Oryctolagus cuniculus: one gene and its partners. The protein of the gene in region 1 purifies or fractionates together with the protein of each later gene. This does not show direct contact. Links are inferred from orthologs where the notes say so. Each region holds a gene or a part of one and is shown in the gene's direction. Other genes may lie near its edges. The genes, in order: PTPDC1, MAPK1, PPP2R2A, PPP2R2D and PPP2CA.

Region 1 (3,962 bases):
TGTGAGCTGCTGTTCCCATGTGGCCCTTAGGGGCCCTGCCTAGAATACTGCTCAGAGCATTCCTCCAGGCAGAGAAGCTTTCTGAATTGGTGATATTAAAAAAAAAGAAAAGAAAAGAAAAGAAAGGAACTCTTCTTCCGTTGCTGTGTACCAAATAACAAGGGCATAATACTACACATGGAGTAGGAATTTGGGCACCAACTTGGGCTTCTGTGTTTCTGCCTTGTTTGACAAAAGTATATATTGTTGGGGACACGGGGGTGGCATTTTAAAAGGCTTGCTTATCGCATTAGTAATTGTTAAAACAGAAGAGGGCTTTATCTATGGCAGTAGTTTGTTCCATCCGCACACGACTAAAATACCGTTTGTTCAGAGAAGGAGTGAGTGAGAGCAAGCGCGGGCGCAGCCTGACATTAACCAGGGAGGAGGCGGACAATGAATGCATTGGCGGTTGTTGCAGTTTCTGTTTTCTTTATATCCTTTATACTCAATTTGCAACCTCCCCCTCATCTAGTTCCTTAAAAAATGTGATCCTTAGTGAGTTTTGTTCATATACATCCGCCAAGGCATTATGGAAGCAGCTTCTTGCCTCATAGCAAAAAAAGACAGGAAGTTGTGCTTGAGTTTGTGAGAGGCTGACTGCTCTCAGTTACTCAGACTCACAACTAGTAGCTGTCATCCGGCAGAGACATTACCAGGAATTGGGTTTTCATGCTCCGAAAATAAAAATATGAAATTAAACGTCTTCTGCTAATGCATGCCCTCTAAAATGTCCTTGTTCTACCCAAGTGTTTCTTTAGGAGTTCTATCAAGAAAATATAGAGTGTATTTGGTTATGAAAATTCTATTTTTTCCTAATGTTGTAAGGCATCAAGCATATCCCACTTTATTAGAATTAACTTTTTGTCCACTCTATCCCAGGGAGGACTAGGAAGAATCTTTCAAAACTATCCAGAGAATAGCTAGGAAAGGAATAACAGAATTTAAACCTATTCATAGGTGTAAAAGGCAGTGATTGCGTCATGAAAACATTTCTTATTTCATTACAGTCTTTTGGAGGTAATTCTGAGTGGTCAGAACTCTTTAAGTATGTTTGAGAAAGAAAATAAAGTAGTCTAGATTTGGGATAATCTACTTAGAATACACATTACTCTTCCGTATATTTGAACAATTTGTCCAAAACACAATCCGTTGGTGTAGAATTTTGCCTGTTCAGATCTAAGTGGGAATCAGTACTTTCTTTGTTTGTCACTATGGAAACGAGTCAGCCTATCCTGAATAGCTCTTAGATCATACAGAGCGATGCCCGTGTCTCCACACACTTCCTCGCTGAGCAGCCGGGGCTGTCTTCTCCCTGCCTCCAGCTCTCCCCTCCCCGGGGCCAGCGCCATGCAGGTACAGGAGGCACCACGGCGGCCCTCAGCTGTGCACTTCCTCAGTGCCTTTTTGCAGGGTCGCCGCCACTCTACCTCAGACCCAGTTGTGCGGCTGCAGCAGGCCCGGCGGGGCTCCGGCTCTGCCACGAAGCTGCTGTCCTCGTCCTCTCTGCAGGTGATGGTGGCTGTGTCCTCTGTGAGCCGTGGTGAAGGGAACCCAACTTTCCCGGAGAGAAAAAGTAAAGCCGTCTTTCTTCTTTTACATTGTCACACCTTTGTGTCTAAATTTAAGGGAATGGGACTGGGCTGTGTTGTTTTTGCCTTTCTAAAAATTGACAGGTGATTCTATTGTATACTTCTTACTTTCTGTTGTGCTAAGAATTTTAGTGAATATATAAAAGGAGGTAAAATGATTGTTTTCTGTTTTCTCATTAGAAATGTAATTTTTGAACAAAATATCCTCTTTTAAAAGATTTCCTTCACAGCTTCTTCCTTCTCACCACCAGTGTAATGTTTGGAGATTATTTAGTGAAAGCTTTTTTTTTTTTTTTAATAGATAATGCGCTTAGGTGAAAAGGAAACAGTTTTCTTTTCTTGATTTGATGAAAGGGACTTACCACTGGCTGATCATCTTCAATCCTGAGATAAAATGGAAGCTGTTTCCCATGTTGCCATTACATTTGGAGAGTGGAATTTGGAATCTTTCCTTCCTTGTATGTTCTAGGAAATTCAGGACGCCCAACACCAAAGTACACGAAAGTGGGCGAACGTTTACGGCATGTCATCCCCGGACATATGGCGTGTTCCATGGCATGTGGCGGCAGAGCGTGCAAGTATGAGAACCCAGCCCGTTGGAGCGAGCAGGAGCAAGCCATTAAGGGGGTGTACTCATCCTGGTGAGTGAGTGGTCATGTGGGTGCCTGCAGCCACACGCGATAAAGGAGGTGAGGGAGGAGTGTGGGAAGAGCCAGGCAGGCCTTTGGAGTCAGGGGTCCCGCCTCCATCCCTGACTTTGCCGCCAACCAGCCATGTGATCCTGAACTACTGAGCCCCAGTTTCCTTATCTGTGAAATGGAAATAATGAAACCAAAACTAAAGGTTTTTTTAGTTAAGTGAAATGTGCAAATATCTTAAATGTACAATTACATAGCTCTTAAGTTTCAAAAATTGCTAGAAATAGTAAAACTTTTGTGATGCAAGTTAAAGGGAACGATAAGGTATACGTATAGTTTTCCAGTTACATTCGGGTGAGCTTTAGCCTTACTTCTATAGTGTTCCTGTGTTCTGTACGAAAGGGCACATCTTCACCCATTATGCTTCAGTTTGCCTTTGTACAAGTTGCCAGCTTTTGTTGGAGATGTTTCTTGGTCAGTTTATTAGCTTGTAACTTGTACTTTTTCATATTGGATTTGCTGGATATATCTGCAGGGGTGCAGTCTGGAATCTGCCTTCATTACTGTTCTCCACAGATCATATTCTGGTCTATCACTGTTACAGCAACGGTGTAAAGAAGCAGATATTATTCCTGAGACATAATTAGACAAGTACATTTCAAACAATGTCACTCAAGATCACATTAATCTTTCTGCTTTATTGTTGACCAAAGTGTGTACAGAGTCCTTTTCACCTCTGCTGCTTCATATCATACCCTCCTCATCTTAAGCTAAGTACTATTTAGTTTGGGGGGTCCCAAACCTTTCAGGTCAGTCCGTACTAAATTTCATGAGGGGGAGGTGTCTTTTGTGGTCTGCCATGCTAACCTGATGTCTCCATTATTCCTCTGAGATTGGGTGACCCACAACTTCCTGTAGACCACCTTCCATTTCTTTCTCCAGACTACTGGTTAGAAACTTAACCAAAGTGCAGCCAGAGCCCAGAGGCCTAGTGAGAATGGCAGCCCTTTATTGGGCCTCTGTCATTAGCTTGGTAAACATCCCTTTGGCTATCAGCTGGGCACTGTACCAGCTGCTTTCAAATTATTATCTCTCCTCTTCATAAAATTCATAGGAGTTGTTACTGCCATGTTATTGGTGAAGGAATTGAGTTCTAGAGAAAGCAATTTGCAGAGTTTCTAGAAAGCAGCATTTGAAGCACTTTCCTTTTACATTGTATCGAATTGTCACACCCACCCTGGGAGGCGGCAGTAGTATCCCCATTTAATACCACCGGTAACAGATGCAGTTAGTTGAGTAATTAGAAGTGCACCTTTGGCCTTTTCCTTTGGTCGCGCTGTTAGATGACTAATCCAGACTATTACCTTTGCCACCACCTGAGCTTTCTTTTCCTTTTTTTTTTCTTAAAGATTTTATTTTTTTATTTGAGAGGTAGAGTTACAGACAGTGAGAGGGAGAGACAGAAAGAAAGGTCTTCCTTCCATTGGTTCACTCTCCTAATGGCAGCTACAGCTGGAGCTGTGCTGATCTGAATCCAGGACCCAGGTGCTTCCTCCTGGTCTCCCATGTGGGTGCAGGGGTCCAAGGACTTGGGCCATCTTCTACTGCTTTCCCAGGTCACAGCAGAGAGCTGGATTGGAAGAGGAGCAGCCGGGACTATAACCAGCACCCATATGGGATGCCGGCACCGCAG
Region 2 (4,084 bases), on another chromosome or scaffold:
CCCCGACCGGGACTAGAACCCGGTGTGCCGGCGCCGCAAGGTGGAGGATTAGCCTACTGAGCCGCGGCGCCGGCCTCATCATCCTGTTTTTAAAAAGAGATGCAATGTCCTTTCAGAATCAAGAATAAGAATTAGGTGTTTTCAAAATTGGGTTCTGCTTCACGGACTAACATTTGAACTCACTTTTGGGTGTAGCACTTTTTTCCCCTTATGTAACACTATTTTTTTTCTCTCCCACAGGGCTTTTAACGCGCCAGACTGACTGGCTAATCTTTATTGATTTCCAGCCGTCTCGAATTAGCAGCTCTGAAGGCTATGAGGGGAGTCTGCCTTCTCACTTCCCTCTGCAGACGGCAAGGAAATGGTTCCGAGGCGGTGGCTGGCCCATCTTCCACCGCGTGGCCTGAGCTTCCTTGGCATCCGTCTGCTTCAAGATTGCAGTTTTTTAATTTTCAGCCTCTCATGTGTCTGTGACTATTGGTTTTAGCGATTCCACCCTGGTGTTTCCAGCTCAGTACGTTCTACGTCTCAAAGCTCATGTCCATCCGGCCTAACATGGGTCTCGGTCTCACAGTGGCAACTCGAGTCTTCCTCAGGTGTCTCAACCCACTCCTCTCTGCCCCTTACTCTGCTTGACATTTCTCCATAGAAAGTACCTCAGCCTGAGAAACCTCTCTCCGGAAGTTATCTTCTACGAGGGCGGATCTAAGGGCAGACCCACTCGGCCTCTCCTGTCTCACACGTTCTCAGTACTCAAATCTCTTCTTCGGTCTGGACCACGTATTCTGGTTCCTAACATAATCTCCACACCTCCTAAGTTGTTCAGAGCGTTTGGGCCCCAGAGGGCCCGAAGCCCACGTGTGCAGCGTCGTTCGTCTTCCCCCGCACTGCCCGAGCTCGCCGCCCGGCCCCAGCCCCGGCCCCTCAGGGTCAGCCCCGTGACGCCCCGTCTCCCCATTCCGCTCTCAGCGTCTCCTCAGCCGCCTCCCGCGCCGACTCACCAGCGAACGCACGTGACCGCGCCCTTCGGCGCCTCCTCCGCAGCCGCCGCCGCCGCCGCCGCCGCCGCCGCAGCGCTCCGCCCTGAGCTCGCCGCTTCCGCCGGCCCGCGCGGCCCCGCCCCCAGCCGCAGGCAGCCAATCCTCGAGCACGCTGCTCGGCCCCGCCCCGGCGCCCTGCTCGGCGCGCGCCCCTCCCTCCGCCCGCGGGCCCGCCCGTCAGTCAGTAAGTGAGACGGGCAGTCGAGGCGAGCGGACGTCGGCTCTCCGCTTCCCCGAAAGCGGCGCCGTCCTGCCTCTTTGGCGGTCAGCTGCGGCGGCTGCACGGACGGCGGCGCGGTCCCTTGGGGAAGCGCGGCGGGAGCGGAGCGGCGGCCGCGGAGCGTCGAGCCCAGCGCGGCGGCGGCGGCCCGGCAGCCAACATGGCGGCGGCGGCGGCGGCGGGCACGGGCCCGGAGATGGTCCGCGGGCAGGTGTTCGACGTGGGGCCGCGCTACACCAACCTCTCGTACATCGGCGAGGGCGCCTACGGCATGGTGTGGTGAGTGTCGGCGCCCGCCCCGCAGGCCTGGCCCGCTCCCCCGCCCGGGGCTGCAGCGGATGCGCCGCGGCCTCGCCCGCGTCTCGGCCTCCCGCGCAGCGGTCGACCCCAGTCCCGGGCTCCCTCGGGCAGGGCCCCGGCTCGAGGTTTAAGATGTCGCTGCTCGTGGCCGGTGGCCGGTCCCGGGCCGGGCCCTCGCTCGCCGCAGGGGGGCGGAGGCCGGGACCCGCGGACGCCCTGCACCGGATAGCCGCTGGGTTTCCAGCCCGGCTCCTCCACCCCACCCCCCAAGATTTCAGAAATGTAGATTGCAAGCCCAGATTCCCGATCCCCAGCCCAGGAGGGGAACGGAAGCATCCGTCGCGCCCCGGGGTGCTCGCGAAGCCGGGAATGCCGTCAGATGCATGGCCCTGGGCTTGGACGCGGTTGGACCCTGCGTGTGTGCGGAACGGCGGCCGGCTGTGCGTGAAGTGTCTGTCCCTCAGCGGTCGTTAGCTGGTGCTCGCCTGAGCAGGCCTTCCGAAAAAGCACCCAGGTCGGCAGTGTGGCTTGTATGAAGAATTCGTCTTGCAGTTTTTTTTTTTTTTTTAATGTTTAAACGGGCATGCATGTGTTACCGTGCGTTTCAGGAATAAGCAGCCGGCATCCCTCTTGGTTTATTAAATCTGCTTGCAGTTGGGCCCAATTTGCTCTTTTTTTTTTTTTTTTTTTCCTCTCCCTCTCTTCCCTCCTCTCAGGTGAGCTCCTAACCAGTATAGATGCATCCTGTCGTGTTGGCCCGAGGACCGAGGGTTTTGCTGTTGGTATTTTAGCGGTCAGTGTATACATTCCGCCTTTCGGGGACTTTTTTTGCACAGTCACACGCAAGGCTCCCTCGGAAGAGGCGCTTCGTGCAGAAGTAGATTCTCCTGCTTCTCAGTCTCATGAGTGTGTCTTTTCCTGATGAATGAAGTAACTGAGCACTAATTTGTGGACTGCTTCGTGCCCCTTACTGTGTGCCACATCCGTATTTTATTTGAACAGCCCCCCCACCCCACCCCAAAGGAAAAGCTGGTAATATCCCTCTGTTAGGTGCCAATTTTCTAAGGTCATAGAAGAAAGTGTCAGTCTTGAGATTGAAGCCTGAGATCTTTGTGGTACACCCAGCGTCCCTTAAAATAGCATCAGTGATAATTTCGGGATTTTTAGCCTCTTTTACTGCTGTGTGCGAGTCTGTTTAAGAAACGTATGCAAATCTGAGTGATGATGACTTCAGAAATGCCATGGAGCACTTGCTTTACCAATCACCTTGACTAGATAGAAGTAGTTGGAATTATTTTTGAATAATTGAATCCTGCATGTTTTCGTTTGCTTTAGGAGCGAATTGCTCCCCAGTATACAGCTGTGAAAATTAGCATGACTTCCCCCCACCCCCACCCCCACCCCCACCCCCACCCCAGCTAAGAAGTGAAAAGAGAAATTAGGTCAGGCCTGAAAGAAATTAGGCTCTGAAAAAGTACTGGAGGCCGGCGCCACGGCTCACTAGGCTAATCCTCCACCTGCGGTACCGGCACCCCAGGTTCTAGTCCCGGTCGGGGCACCGGATTCTGTCCCAGTTGCCCCTCTTCCAGGTCAACTCTCTGCTGTGGCCCGGGAGTGCAGTGGAGGATGGCCCAAGTGCTTGGGCCCTGCACCCCATGGGAGACCAGGAGAAGCACCTGGCTCCTGCCATCAGATCAGCGCGGTGCGCCGGCCGCGCCGGCCATTGGAGGGTGAACCAACGGCAAAAAGAAGACCTTTCTCTCTGTCTCTCTCTCTCACTGTCCACTCTGCCTGTCAAAAAATTAAAATAATTTAAAAAATAAAGAAAGTACTGCCCCTGGTATCCCTTCTGTGTCACACGTGTTATTGTTGTCATGCCTGCTGGTGAGTACACCAGTGACTATCTCATGAGAGGCTCAGGATTGCCCGTCATGCCCTTTGACACCCCTCCCCCCTTTAATTATATAAAATATGAACTGAAAAAAAATCTTTAGGATATGTCAGTTGAAAGCATTTTTTTCCCTTAGCTGATGAGATTTTTTTCTTTAATCTGAGGGTGATGTCGATTTAGAAGCTGTTTCTGTCACTGCTGTAGACTAATCCAACCTCTGTCTCCAGTTGAAGTGCTAACTTCTCTTGCTGTAATTTTCTCTTTTGAAATAAAACAAATATAATTGACATTTGAATCGTGGGCCCAGATTACAGATTATTGCAAGTTGGTGATACAACCTGCCGTTAATCTATACTGCACATTGTTTGGCTTTTGATAAATACAGTGCTGGGGTTATGGAGGACTTCGTGGTTAAATTTTTTATTTATTTATTTATTTTTTTTTTTGACAGGCAGAGTGGACAGTGAGAGAGAGAGAGAGACAGAGAGAAAGGTCTTCCTTTTTGCCATTGGTTCACCCTCCAATGGCTGCCGTGGCCGGCGCACCACGGCCGGTGCACTGCGCTAATCCGAAGCCAGGTGCCTCTCCTGGTCTCCCGTGGGGTGCAGGGCCCAAGCACTTGGGCCATCCTCC
Region 3 (3,514 bases), on another chromosome or scaffold:
TTCATCCACATTAAAAAAAAATGTCAAACTAACCTGTTGACCGTGAGTTCTGAATACATGAATATTACAGTTTCTTAATAAATTGTTGGTTTTAGCAGCTTGTTGATAAAATAGTTGTTTAGGTCTTATGTAAATCTGCATTCCCACAAGAGAGACTTTGGTAACATTGTTTTCTCTGTTACAACTTTATGCTGGAGTCAGAAAGACAAAGGAACATGTGGACTTGTGGAACACTTGAGCTGAGCTATTAGTGTTGAAAATACAGGGAAATAGCACAGAGCAACAAGTTTGGAAGGAAGAGATCTCATTGAGAGTCTAATAATCCCTTGCCCTGAAAAGTGTATATATGAGGCTGGCGCTGTGGTGTACCGGGTAAGGCCACCGCCTATAGTGCCAGCATCCCATATGGGCATTGGTTTGGGTCCCAGCTGTTCCACTTCTGATCCGGCTCTCTGCTGTGGCCTGGGAAAGCAGTGGAAGATGCCCTAAGCCCTAGGGCCCCTGCATCCACATGGGAGACCTGCAGGAAGCTCCTAGCTCCTGGCTTCAAATCGGCGCAGCTCCGGCCATTGTGGCCAACTGGGGAGTGAACCAGCAGATGGAAGACCCCCCCCCCCTTCCCTCCTTCCCTCCCTCCATCCCTCTGTCCCTGCCTCTGCCTCTGCCTCTCCTCTCTCTCTATGTAACTCTGACTTTCAAATAAATAAACCATAAAAACAGTATATATTTACATAGTCTTGTGTACAATTTTATGTACTTTGATTATTTTCATTTACCTCGTCCTAAGGACCAAAAGCTTCAGGTTAAAACAAAACAAAACAGAAAACCTCTGTAGAACATAAGGATTTCGAAATTTTTGTCATTTATTAAATTACTAATTTGTTTCTAATCTGCCTTGTCTTCAAGGTACTGCACTGAAATGATGTACTGTCATCGTACTTCTGTATCCTATGTTTATACTCTTGAAAAAAGTCTTTATCCTCCTGAGCCTCAAAATTTATCAAAATATTTTGTTTTTGGTTTAATGTGTTTTAATGTCCAATTTTTCAGGAATTTAAAAAAGAGTTCTTCCAGCATTACACTATTAGGAACCTCAAACTAAAATTGTCTTATTTGAAAGTTTGGTCACAATTTGAAATATTGTGATTTATTTATCTAATCCTTAATAGAAGTGATGAATTTAAACAAGACACAAAACAGCTAGGGGATGCATCACTTAACTGCTGGAATATTACACACATCATTACATAGGGTTTAGGAAAAAATAATAGATTACAAGTTGCAAGAGTTAGGAATCTTACTGGGTTTAGAGCTTCATATTTCAGAAAGGTATCCATTGAAATAACTCGTGTTCTTCTGTAAGAGAGAGATAGCCAGACATAAGGGGTCACTGGTATCTTGAGTTGCTTTGAACTACTTTATAAGATGACTAAAATTGTTAGACCTTCTTACTTGTGAAAGATTGGAATGTAATGATTTTATGTAAGATGCAATTTTAGTATCACACAGTATTAACTAAATGCATATGTGTCTAGGGTAATATAAACAATTGAATAAGCATATGTATGTAGATAAAGAAGCGAGATATGGCTGTAATTTGATTTGAGTATTACAAAGAGTACCATTAATGTTTAAATTTGTGATATCTGCACTGTATTTTTATGTGTATTTTTTTTTAAGACTTATTTATTTACTTGAAACTCAGAGTTACACAGAGAGAGAAGGAGAGACAGAGAGAGAGGTCTTCATCCGCTGGTTCACTCCTCAATTGGCTGCAATGGCCGGAGTTGCGCCGATCTGAAGCCAGGAGCCAGGAGCTTCTTCTGGGCCTCCCATGTGGGTGTAGGGACCCAAGGACTTGGGCCATCTTCCACTGCTTTCCTAGGCCATAGCATAGAGCTGGATTGGAAGTGGAGCATCTGGGACACGAACTGGCGCCCATATGGGATGCTGGCACTGCAGGCGGCAGCTTTACCTGCTATGCCACAGTGCTGGCCCCGTATTTACTTTTATTCACCCAGTAATAGGAAACTTCTAATTAAGCCAGTTAAGGAATTTTATAAGAAAATCCTTTTTGGAAAAATAATGAAAATCACGCGTTTAAAATGCCTTAAAATGTTTTTGTTCTATCATTGTTACTACTTTTTAAGAACTTTCTTTATTCTTCTCCAGATAAAACAATAAAATTATGGAAAATTAGTGAAAGGGACAAAAGACCAGAAGGGTATAACTTGAAAGAGGAAGATGGAAGATATAGAGATCCTACTACGGTTACTACACTACGAGTAAGTATATAAAAAATGGTTATAATTTTCATGAATAGTGATCTGTATTCTTATCATATAGGCTTAGATTCTGAGCAGAACCTGAATAGAAATAGAGTTAACCTACACCAACAATTCTGTAACCAGGTAGGACTTTGAATAATTCCCATTTAAATACAAAAATTGACATACATAGAGGCCCCACTGTAGCCAGGGCAGGACTAGAACTCAAAACAGAAGGCTGCTTTACACTACACACTCCCGCTCTCATAGTTGGAATGTCAGCTATTACAAGATTAAGCTTCAAGATTAATTCTATTTGGAGACCAAAAACTAGGGATGGGCCAAATTATACAATTGTAGCTAAAACTGTCCAGAATTAAATGCTATGGAATTATTTCCTATTTAGCCTTAAATTGCTGTGAACTGTAAGTACTTGTTAGCATTGTACTTCCTCAAGCAAATGATTTTGAACCAAGAAGAACTGCAAATTCTAATAGTATTGCTGCCAGTAAAAGAAGGTGAATTGTGGGACATCAGGTTAAGCTCCTTTTTGGGATGCCCATACCCCATATTGGTGTGCATGAATCAAATCTCACCTCCACTTCCTACCCAACCGCCTGCTAATTTGCACCCAGGTAGGCAGGTGATATAATTCTTGACTCCTGACTTCAACCTGGCCCAGCTCTTGCTGTTGCAGGCATTTGGAAAGTGAACCAGCAGAAACAAGATATCTATTATTTTCTCTCTGTTCTTTCAAATAAATTTAAAAAGTAAATAAACTTTAAGATAAATTGTCCAGGAGCCAGGCCGTGGTGCAGCAGCTTAAGCTGCCACCTGCAGTGCTGGCATCCCATATTGTTGCTGGTTCAAGTCCCCACTGCTCCACTTCTGGTCCAGCTTTCTGCTAATGCACCTGGGAAAAGCAGCAGAAGATGACCCAAGTATTTGGGCCCCTGCCACCCCCATGAGAGACCTAGAAGAAGCTCCTGTCACCTGTCTTCTGGCTGGCCCAGCCCTGGTTGTTGGCAGCCATTTGGGGGGAGCGAATCAGCAGATGGAAGATCACTCTCTCTCTAACTCTGCCTTTAAAAAAAAATTAAAGATATGTTCATTTTCTGCTGATTTGAACAATTTAAGGAGTCATCATCAGTTCATTTTTAAAGCTAATCTATGTAATATTGTACCATTCTTTGTCCTCTCAAAAATTACAGTAATGAAGTGTTCTGAGCCTTATGTGCTATTTGAAG
Region 4 (3,514 bases), on another chromosome or scaffold:
TGGGGGACTGGGCGTGTGCTCTGCACGACACCAGCTCTCGGCCGTGAAGGTCTGTCCCAGTCCCTGCTATGTGGTCGTCATTTCAATTCCTGTGCCTTCCGTTTACAGGTCCCCATCTTGAAGCCCATGGACCTTATGGTGGAAGCCAGCCCGCGGCGGATCTTTGCGAATGCTCACACGTATCACATCAATTCCATTTCAGTGAACAGTGACCACGAGACGTATCTCTCTGCAGATGACCTGCGAATTAACCTGTGGCACCTGGAAATCACGGACAGAAGTTTCAGTATCCTTCCCCGCACATCCCATGCCTGCTTCTTTCTTTCTTTTTTTAAGATTTACTTATTTATTTGAAAGTCAGAGTTACACCAAGAGAGAAGGAGAGGCAGGGCCGGGGGTCTTCCACCCGCTGGTTCACTCCCCAGATTGCGCCAGTCTGAAGGCAGGAGCCAGGAGCTCCCTCCAGGTCTCCCACACGGGTGCAGGGGCCCAAGAACAAGGGCCATCTTCCACTGCTTTCCCAGACCGCTATAGCAGAGAGCTGGATCGGAAGTGGAGCAGCCAGGACTTGAGCTGGCGCCCATACAGGATGCCACACTGCAGGCAGCGGCTCTACCCGCTGTGGCACAGCGCTGGCCCCTGCTTCTCAGTCTCACCGCACGCTGCACACTGCTTAGAGCCAGTGCTGTAAGTTCCCCGTGAGATAAAGCACTTTTCCCTGAGAACACGGCGTTGTTCTGCCTTTGGGGGAGGTTCTCAGTGTGCTGGGAATGACCCGAAGGCCGTGGCCCGCGTGGCTCCGCCAGTGGCAGTGTTGACCAGGCTGTGTTGCGTGTTTTTTCTTCTACATTGCTGACAGATCATGAAATGGCGGAAGCTTAGACGAGGGTGACGAGGGTGGCATTTCACTCCCTGCCTGGGAGCAGTGTGGCGTGGGGCTTGCGCTGCCTCCGGGCAGTCAGTCGTCAGCCGTGGCCTCGTGCCCTCCGTCGCCTGTCCGGCTGCTGCGCCCGGGGCCATGTGGATTCTGGGCAGAGCCCCAGCCCTGCTCACACATGCTCTGGAGACTCGGCCTCCTGCCCGTGCTGCCCCGCACTGAGGTCACGGGCCTGGCTGGGCAGCTCCTCACGCTGAGCCCTGCAGCCTTCCCGGAACCTGCTGCCTCCTCTCGGACTCGCTGGGCCCCTCGTGGGCTCCCCCCGCCCCGTGGCCCGCACGTGCCCCAGCCAGCAGGCCGGGCAGACAGGGCTCACTGTGCATCTCTCCCTGCCCGCTGTCGGTGTCGGTGACTTCCCCTGGACAGCCGCGGGCTAGTCTCTCCGGCACAGCTGCAGCGGGCGGCCAGGCTGACCCATCGTGGAATCCTGACTTCCCTCTTGTCTCAGTTGACTGGTTTCTACGTGGACGTGGCTCCAAGTATTCAGAGCAAGCTCTCCATGTCAGATAATCAGATTCTCTGTGGCAGTATTGGGTGTGTATTGGGTGTGTGTAGCGTGCGTCTGTTACTTTTTCTTGGTGGTTAAACACACGCTGAGAACAGCAGAGAGGTGGTCCCTGCATGGCCCTCCGTGCTCCGTCGTCTGTTAGCGGGCTCACGCCTGCCCCCCTCTGTCCCGTCCCTGCATGGCCCTCCGTGCTCCGTCGTCTGTTAGCGGGCTCACGCCTGCCCCCCTCTGTCCCGTCCCTGCATGGCCCTCCGTGCTCCGTCGTCTGTTAGCGGGCTCACGCCTGCCCTCTGTCCCGTCCCTGCCATGACCCTCCGTGCTCCGTCGTCTGTTAGCGGGCTCACGCCTGCCCCCCTCTGTCCCGTCCCTGCATGGCCCTCCGTGCTCCGTCGTCTGTTAGTGGGCTCACGCCTGCCCCCCTCTGTCCCGTCCCTGCATGGCCCTCCGTGCTCCGTCGTCTGTTAGCGGGCTCACGCCTGCCCTCTGTCCCGTCCCTGCATGACCCTCCGTGCTCCGTCGTCTGTTAGCGGGCTCACACCTGCCCTCTGTCCCGTCCCTGCATGGCCCTCCGTGCTCCGTCGTCTGTTAGCGGGCTCACGCCTGCCCTCTGTCTGGTGGCTGCTTTGCTCTGAGCCTTCCACCTCCCTGTGTGGTGACGTGTTCCCTGTTGAGGGCAAACTTGGCGCTGAGCCCTGAGCCTTAACGCTGCTCCGCAGACATCGTGGACATCAAGCCCGCGAACATGGAGGAGCTGACGGAGGTCATCACGGCGGCCGAGTTCCACCCGCACCAGTGCAACGTGCTCGTCTACAGCAGCAGCAAGGGCACCGTGCGGCTGTGCGACATGCGCTCGTCCGCCCTGTGCGACAGGCACGCCAAATGTGAGTGTCCCGCGGCCACCAGACAGGCGGCTCCCTGGGGCCCACACGGCAGGCTCCCGGCGGGCAGTGCTGTCTCCCTCGGAGCACTAGCGCCTGGGCCGGGCTGCGAGAGCGCGTCTCACCAGTGAGCTCTGCTGGACCTGGAGCCAGGTCCCTGAGGTCTGGCGTTCGAATGCGTGCAGTCATGAGAAGAACGGTGGTGGCTTTGTTCTTACTTGGCCCGACTCTGTGGAAAACCACAGTCTGCCATGGTGTTTGGAGACAGGCGTCCTGGAAACCTTGCTGGTCCTCCCCCAGGCCGGGCAGGAGCAGGTGCAGCTGCGCCCGCGGAGCAGAGCGCACTCACCAGCCCCAGAGCCGCCAGGCAGCGCCTGTGGGACCTCTGTCAGCTGCAGCCTCAGGCACCCTTGCTCATCCTCACCCATTGACTCTAGCTGTTGACAGCTTTCTGCCTCGCTCTCTTCCTCAGACTAAGTGTGTTAAGGATTCGGCACCCCTGGGGAGAGTGTGTGGCACGGTGGTTTAAGCCATCCCTTGGGAAGCCTGCATCCCACATTGGAGTGCCTGCAGCCAGGCCCCAGCTCTGCTTCCAGTCCAGCTTCCTGCTAATGCAGACGCCCGGAGGCAGCAGTGAGGCCCCAAGTGCGGGGTCTCTGCCCCCCACCCACAAGGGAGACTGGTCCTGGCTTCAGCCTGGCCCAGCCCCAGCTAGTCTTGGGCATTTGGGAAGCAAACCTGCGAACAGAAGCTGTCTCTGTCTTCCTCTCTGCCTTTCAAATAAATAAAAGTAAACTTAAAAGGGGGCGTTCTGTGCTCCTGTGCCTGCTACAGGGGCCTGCGGCGCAGAAACCCTGTCCCATGGCACTTGGGGAGGGGCCGTGTCCTCTGATGCCTGCCCGTGTCTTCATGGTGGCACCTAGAGCAGTTTCCTGTTCCTGAAAGTAAAGCTTTGTTTTTGATTGGAAAGACAGCTAGAGATCTGCCATCTGCTGATCCACTCAGATGCTGCAACAGCCGGGGCCGGGCCAGGCTGAAGCTGGGAGCCCAGAACTCCCATCTGCGTCCGTGTGTGACTGACAGGGCCCACCTGCTGTCTCCCAGGGTGTGCCCTGCAGGAAGTCGGGTTGGACTGGAACGCACTCCGACAAGGCGCATGGCGTGCCGAGCGCTGTCCTAGCCCTTGCGCCA
Region 5 (3,514 bases), on another chromosome or scaffold:
TCTCTGGTATGTAATCAGATGGCCATTTGACAGGCTTGAACATTCCTATTATTGATGGGAATGGGCTGTGCATCCTGATAACATTTTTTTCTAGGTTTCGGAGATGAGATAGCAAAGGAATAGTCTAGCCATCTGATGTCTTATTTTTAATAGGATCATAAATTCTGACAATTTCATCTTAAACCAAGTTTGCCTCTTAAGCTGCATTAAATATAATTCAGTGTATCTTTGTTAATGTCATTTCATACTAAATATTGTTTTATGGTTTTGTCTGTAGGCTAAAGAAATCCTGACAAAAGAATCCAACGTGCAAGAGGTTCGATGTCCAGTTACTGTCTGTGGAGATGTGCATGGGCAATTTCACGATCTCATGGAACTGTTTAGAATTGGTGGCAAATCACCAGACACAAATTACTTGTTTATGGGAGATTATGTTGACAGAGGATATTACTCCGTTGAAACAGTTACACTGCTTGTAGCTCTTAAGGTAATTTCAGCTTATGTTTGATTATTTTGAACTGGGTAAGACAGTTCTCTCTTTTTTTTTTTTTTTTTTTTTGACAGGCAGAGTGGACAGTGAGAGAGAGAGACAGAGAGAGAAAGGTCTTCCTTTGCCGCTGGTTCACCCTCCAATGGCCGCCGCTGCAGCCGGCGCACCGCGCTGATCCTGGCAGGAGCCAGGAGCCAGGTGCTTTTCCTGGTCTCCCATGGGGTGCAGGGCCCAAGCACCTGGGCCATCCTCCACTGCACTCCCTGGCCATAGCAGAGAGCTGGCCTGGAAGAGGGGCAACCGGGACAGAATCCGGTGCCCCAACCGGGACTAGAACCCGGTGTGCCGGCGCCGCAAGGTGGAGGATTAGCCTATTGAGCCACGGCGCCGGCTCAAGACAGTTCTCTTGATTGTTGTTTCCTAGTAATTATTTTTTTCCTCTTAACTAAATGTTACATTTTAGAACAAAATTCTCTTGAGAAATGCAAATTATTCAGGTTTTACGTTTATAGGATTCTGCATTCCAAGCATAGGGTTGGGACAGAATGAAAAAGTGGGGAGAAGATAATGCCTTAGATTGTTTGAACAGTCTTAGAGGGCTAGCCAAATAGAAATGTATTCAGTAGATTCAGGTATGGAAAGGTAGTTGTTACCTTCCTAGTTAGTTTCAAAATATTGTAAAGGTACAAATGGATCAAATGTTAGAATGTTTATATCCTCTGACAGAAATCCTGTAATTAGAATGGTGCTGAGGAAGAAATAGAAGAGGAAAAGATTTTTGTGTAAATAAATTGTAGTATTTAATACCAGAAAAAGAAAGTACTCATCTAAATATCCACAAATTAGGGTTTATTGAGGTAGAATAGTTTGTGGCTGTTAAACATGACATAATGTAGATAGTGGAAATGGTAATTGAAGAAGGGAAGTTGCAAAATCATTTGAGTATCAGATGCAGCTTTGCAAAGTCCACAGTTGACAGGAGGCAGATGAAGCAAAGCTGAAAATAAGCTCTGAAGGTGGCCGGTTTCAGCTTTTCCCAAAAGAAACTGACTTGCCCTTCAGGGGGAATTTTTTCTTTTTCTGGGATTCAGTCTCATTAAAGAGTAGAAAGAATGATAAAATGTCTGCCATAGACTTTTCTAACATTAAAGAAGCAGTGCGTTGTGCTTTCAGCAAGGGCTGATTATGGGTAATTAGTATTGAACTCATGGAAATGTTAGGTACATTTCTGGAGGCCATTGTGTTCTGCCTCTATAAATGAAGACATGAGACTGGGCGGTGGAAGATTGTGTGAGAGCAGTGTGCAGCTAGCTGTGCTGTAGACCCAGGCTGAATCCCAGGAGAAGAGTGAATGTGCCACCTTTTAAGAATTGATGCAAGTGGGTGTAACAGGCTGAATTGTGTCCTCTCGGAATTCATACTTTGAATTCCCAACCTATAATACCTCAGAATGTGACTGTTGGAGCTGAGACCTTTACAGAGGTGATTGAGGTAAAATGGGGTCATGTGACTGGACCTTACTCCCATATGAGTGGTGTTCTTGTAAGAGATAGGACACAGGGAAGAAAATGAGAAGACAAATAGAGCCGATGCCCTTCTGTAAAGCAGACACAGAGGTCTGCAGAGAAACCCAACTGTGCTGACGCCAGGTTTCTGTTGCTTAAGCTGCTCCTCTGTTATGGCGCGGTGTTACAGCAGCTAGAGCAGACAGGAGTGGGGGAAGGATTGTCCTTTCAGCCGGTAGTGCTGAGACAGATGGATAAAAGTGAATTACAGACCTGAATATGAGAATTATGGCTGTAAGATTTCTAGGTTAAAACATAGAAAATCTTCCTGGTCTTGAGAGATTTCTTAGATATTAACAAAAGGAAATCAATTTAAAAAAAAAGAAAAACCAGACCTCATAAAAAAGTAAGGTTTTTTGTTCAGAAAATATTACTAAGAACAAAAATATGTATTTGAGATTTTTTTTTCCAAAAATCCTTAATACAACAGATATTTTATAAAAGACAAATACTTGAATAGATTTCACCCCAGCAGATACATGACTGGTAAGTACATGAAAACAAAAACACAACGTCATTAGTCAACAGGAAAATGCAAATTCAAGTCACAATGAGATACCATTTTGCATGGCTCAGGTACCGAGTATTTGTGAGTATGTGGAGAGATTAGCATCCTGGTTCATTGCTTGTGAGAATGTGAAAGGGTCTAGTCACTTTGAATGATTGTCAACAGGTGAAGCATAACTTACTATAAGCAAATTATATTCTGGAAATCTGTCTAAGAGAAATGAAAGCGTATGTCTTCAAAAACTGTACACAGGTGATCGTGGCAAAAATTCAAAATAGCCTAAAGAAAGGAAAGAAGCTACTCAACAGTGCCTCCTACCCATGAATACAGAATATGCCGTATAACGGTACTGTGAAAGACTGCAGCTGCACAGAGGAACAAACCACTGATCTATACTGCAGCACGGATAAGCCTTGAACATATTCTGAGTGGTGTTTAGTGCAGAAGCTATGTGTTTTTGTTTTTGTTTTTTTTTGTGTGTGTTTTTTTGTTTTTTTTTTTGTTTTTTTTTGCATTATTCTGTTTCTTATGGAGTTTGTAGAAAAGGCAGTCTCAGATAAATCATTGGATGGTAGGAGCATGGGAGTAGGGAGTGAGTGTAGACAGACAGGAGGGACTCTTATTGGGGGAATGGAATGATTAAAACTGGGTTTCAGAAAGTTTCCTGAATGTTCCTTTGGTGTTTGAAAGCTGTTTCATGGTTTCCATTCTGTTGTTGTAGGTTCGTTACCGTGAACGCATCACCATTCTTCGAGGAAATCATGAGAGCAGACAGATCACACAGGTTTATGGTTTCTATGATGAATGTTTAAGAAAATATGGAAACGCAAATGTTTGGAAATATTTTACAGATCTTTTTGACTATCTTCCTCTCACTGCCTTGGTGGATGGGCAGGTATATGTCTCAAACCTTTTTTTTTTTTTTTTTTTTTTTTTTTTTTTTTTTTTGTA

The links.
Region 2: the proteins of PTPDC1 (region 1) and MAPK1 purify together in Homo sapiens (affinity purification with mass spectrometry; 3 studies listed by BioGRID and IntAct, with this or other methods). This does not show direct contact. The link is inferred for Oryctolagus cuniculus from reciprocal best matches to the Homo sapiens genes PTPDC1 and MAPK1.
Region 3: the proteins of PTPDC1 (region 1) and PPP2R2A purify together in Homo sapiens (affinity purification with mass spectrometry; 4 studies listed by BioGRID and IntAct, counting the BioPlex papers as one, with this or other methods). This does not show direct contact. The link is inferred for Oryctolagus cuniculus from reciprocal best matches to the Homo sapiens genes PTPDC1 and PPP2R2A.
Region 4: the proteins of PTPDC1 (region 1) and PPP2R2D purify together in Homo sapiens (affinity purification with mass spectrometry; 5 studies listed by BioGRID and IntAct, counting the BioPlex papers as one, with this or other methods). This does not show direct contact. The link is inferred for Oryctolagus cuniculus from reciprocal best matches to the Homo sapiens genes PTPDC1 and PPP2R2D.
Region 5: the proteins of PTPDC1 (region 1) and PPP2CA purify together in Homo sapiens (affinity purification with mass spectrometry; 4 studies listed by BioGRID and IntAct, counting the BioPlex papers as one, with this or other methods). This does not show direct contact. The link is inferred for Oryctolagus cuniculus from reciprocal best matches to the Homo sapiens genes PTPDC1 and PPP2CA.

What each region holds. Positions count from the first base shown.
Region 1 is NC_091432.1:145,122,021-145,125,982, reverse strand, and holds the start of PTPDC1 (protein tyrosine phosphatase domain-containing protein 1), read left to right. Parts: upstream 1-1,162; 5' UTR 1,163-1,302; coding exon 1,303-1,615; intron 1,616-2,100; coding exon 2,101-2,272; intron 2,273-3,962. UniProt on the Homo sapiens protein: May play roles in cilia formation and/or maintenance.
Region 2 is NC_091452.1:28,976,471-28,980,554, forward strand, and holds the start of MAPK1 (mitogen-activated protein kinase 1), read left to right. Parts: upstream 1-1,281; 5' UTR 1,282-1,420; coding exon 1,421-1,539; intron 1,540-4,084. UniProt on the Homo sapiens protein: Serine/threonine kinase which acts as an essential component of the MAP kinase signal transduction pathway. MAPK1/ERK2 and MAPK3/ERK1 are the 2 MAPKs which play an important role in the MAPK/ERK cascade.
Region 3 is NC_091433.1:47,880,063-47,883,576, reverse strand, and holds part of PPP2R2A (serine/threonine-protein phosphatase 2A 55 kDa regulatory subunit B alpha isoform), read left to right. Parts: intron 1-2,172; coding exon 2,173-2,285; intron 2,286-3,514. UniProt on the Homo sapiens protein: Substrate-recognition subunit of protein phosphatase 2A (PP2A) that plays a key role in cell cycle by controlling mitosis entry and exit. Involved in chromosome clustering during late mitosis by mediating dephosphorylation of MKI67.
Region 4 is NC_091446.1:1,029,641-1,033,154, reverse strand, and holds part of PPP2R2D (serine/threonine-protein phosphatase 2A 55 kDa regulatory subunit B delta isoform), read left to right. Parts: intron 1-108; coding exon 109-286; intron 287-2,161; coding exon 2,162-2,326; intron 2,327-3,514. UniProt on the Homo sapiens protein: Substrate-recognition subunit of protein phosphatase 2A (PP2A) that plays a key role in cell cycle by controlling mitosis entry and exit. Involved in chromosome clustering during late mitosis by mediating dephosphorylation of MKI67.
Region 5 is NC_091437.1:22,497,924-22,501,437, reverse strand, and holds part of PPP2CA (serine/threonine-protein phosphatase 2A catalytic subunit alpha isoform), read left to right. Parts: intron 1-277; coding exon 278-487; intron 488-3,284; coding exon 3,285-3,458; intron 3,459-3,514. UniProt on the Homo sapiens protein: Catalytic subunit of protein phosphatase 2A (PP2A), a serine/threonine phosphatase involved in the regulation of a wide variety of enzymes, signal transduction pathways, and cellular events.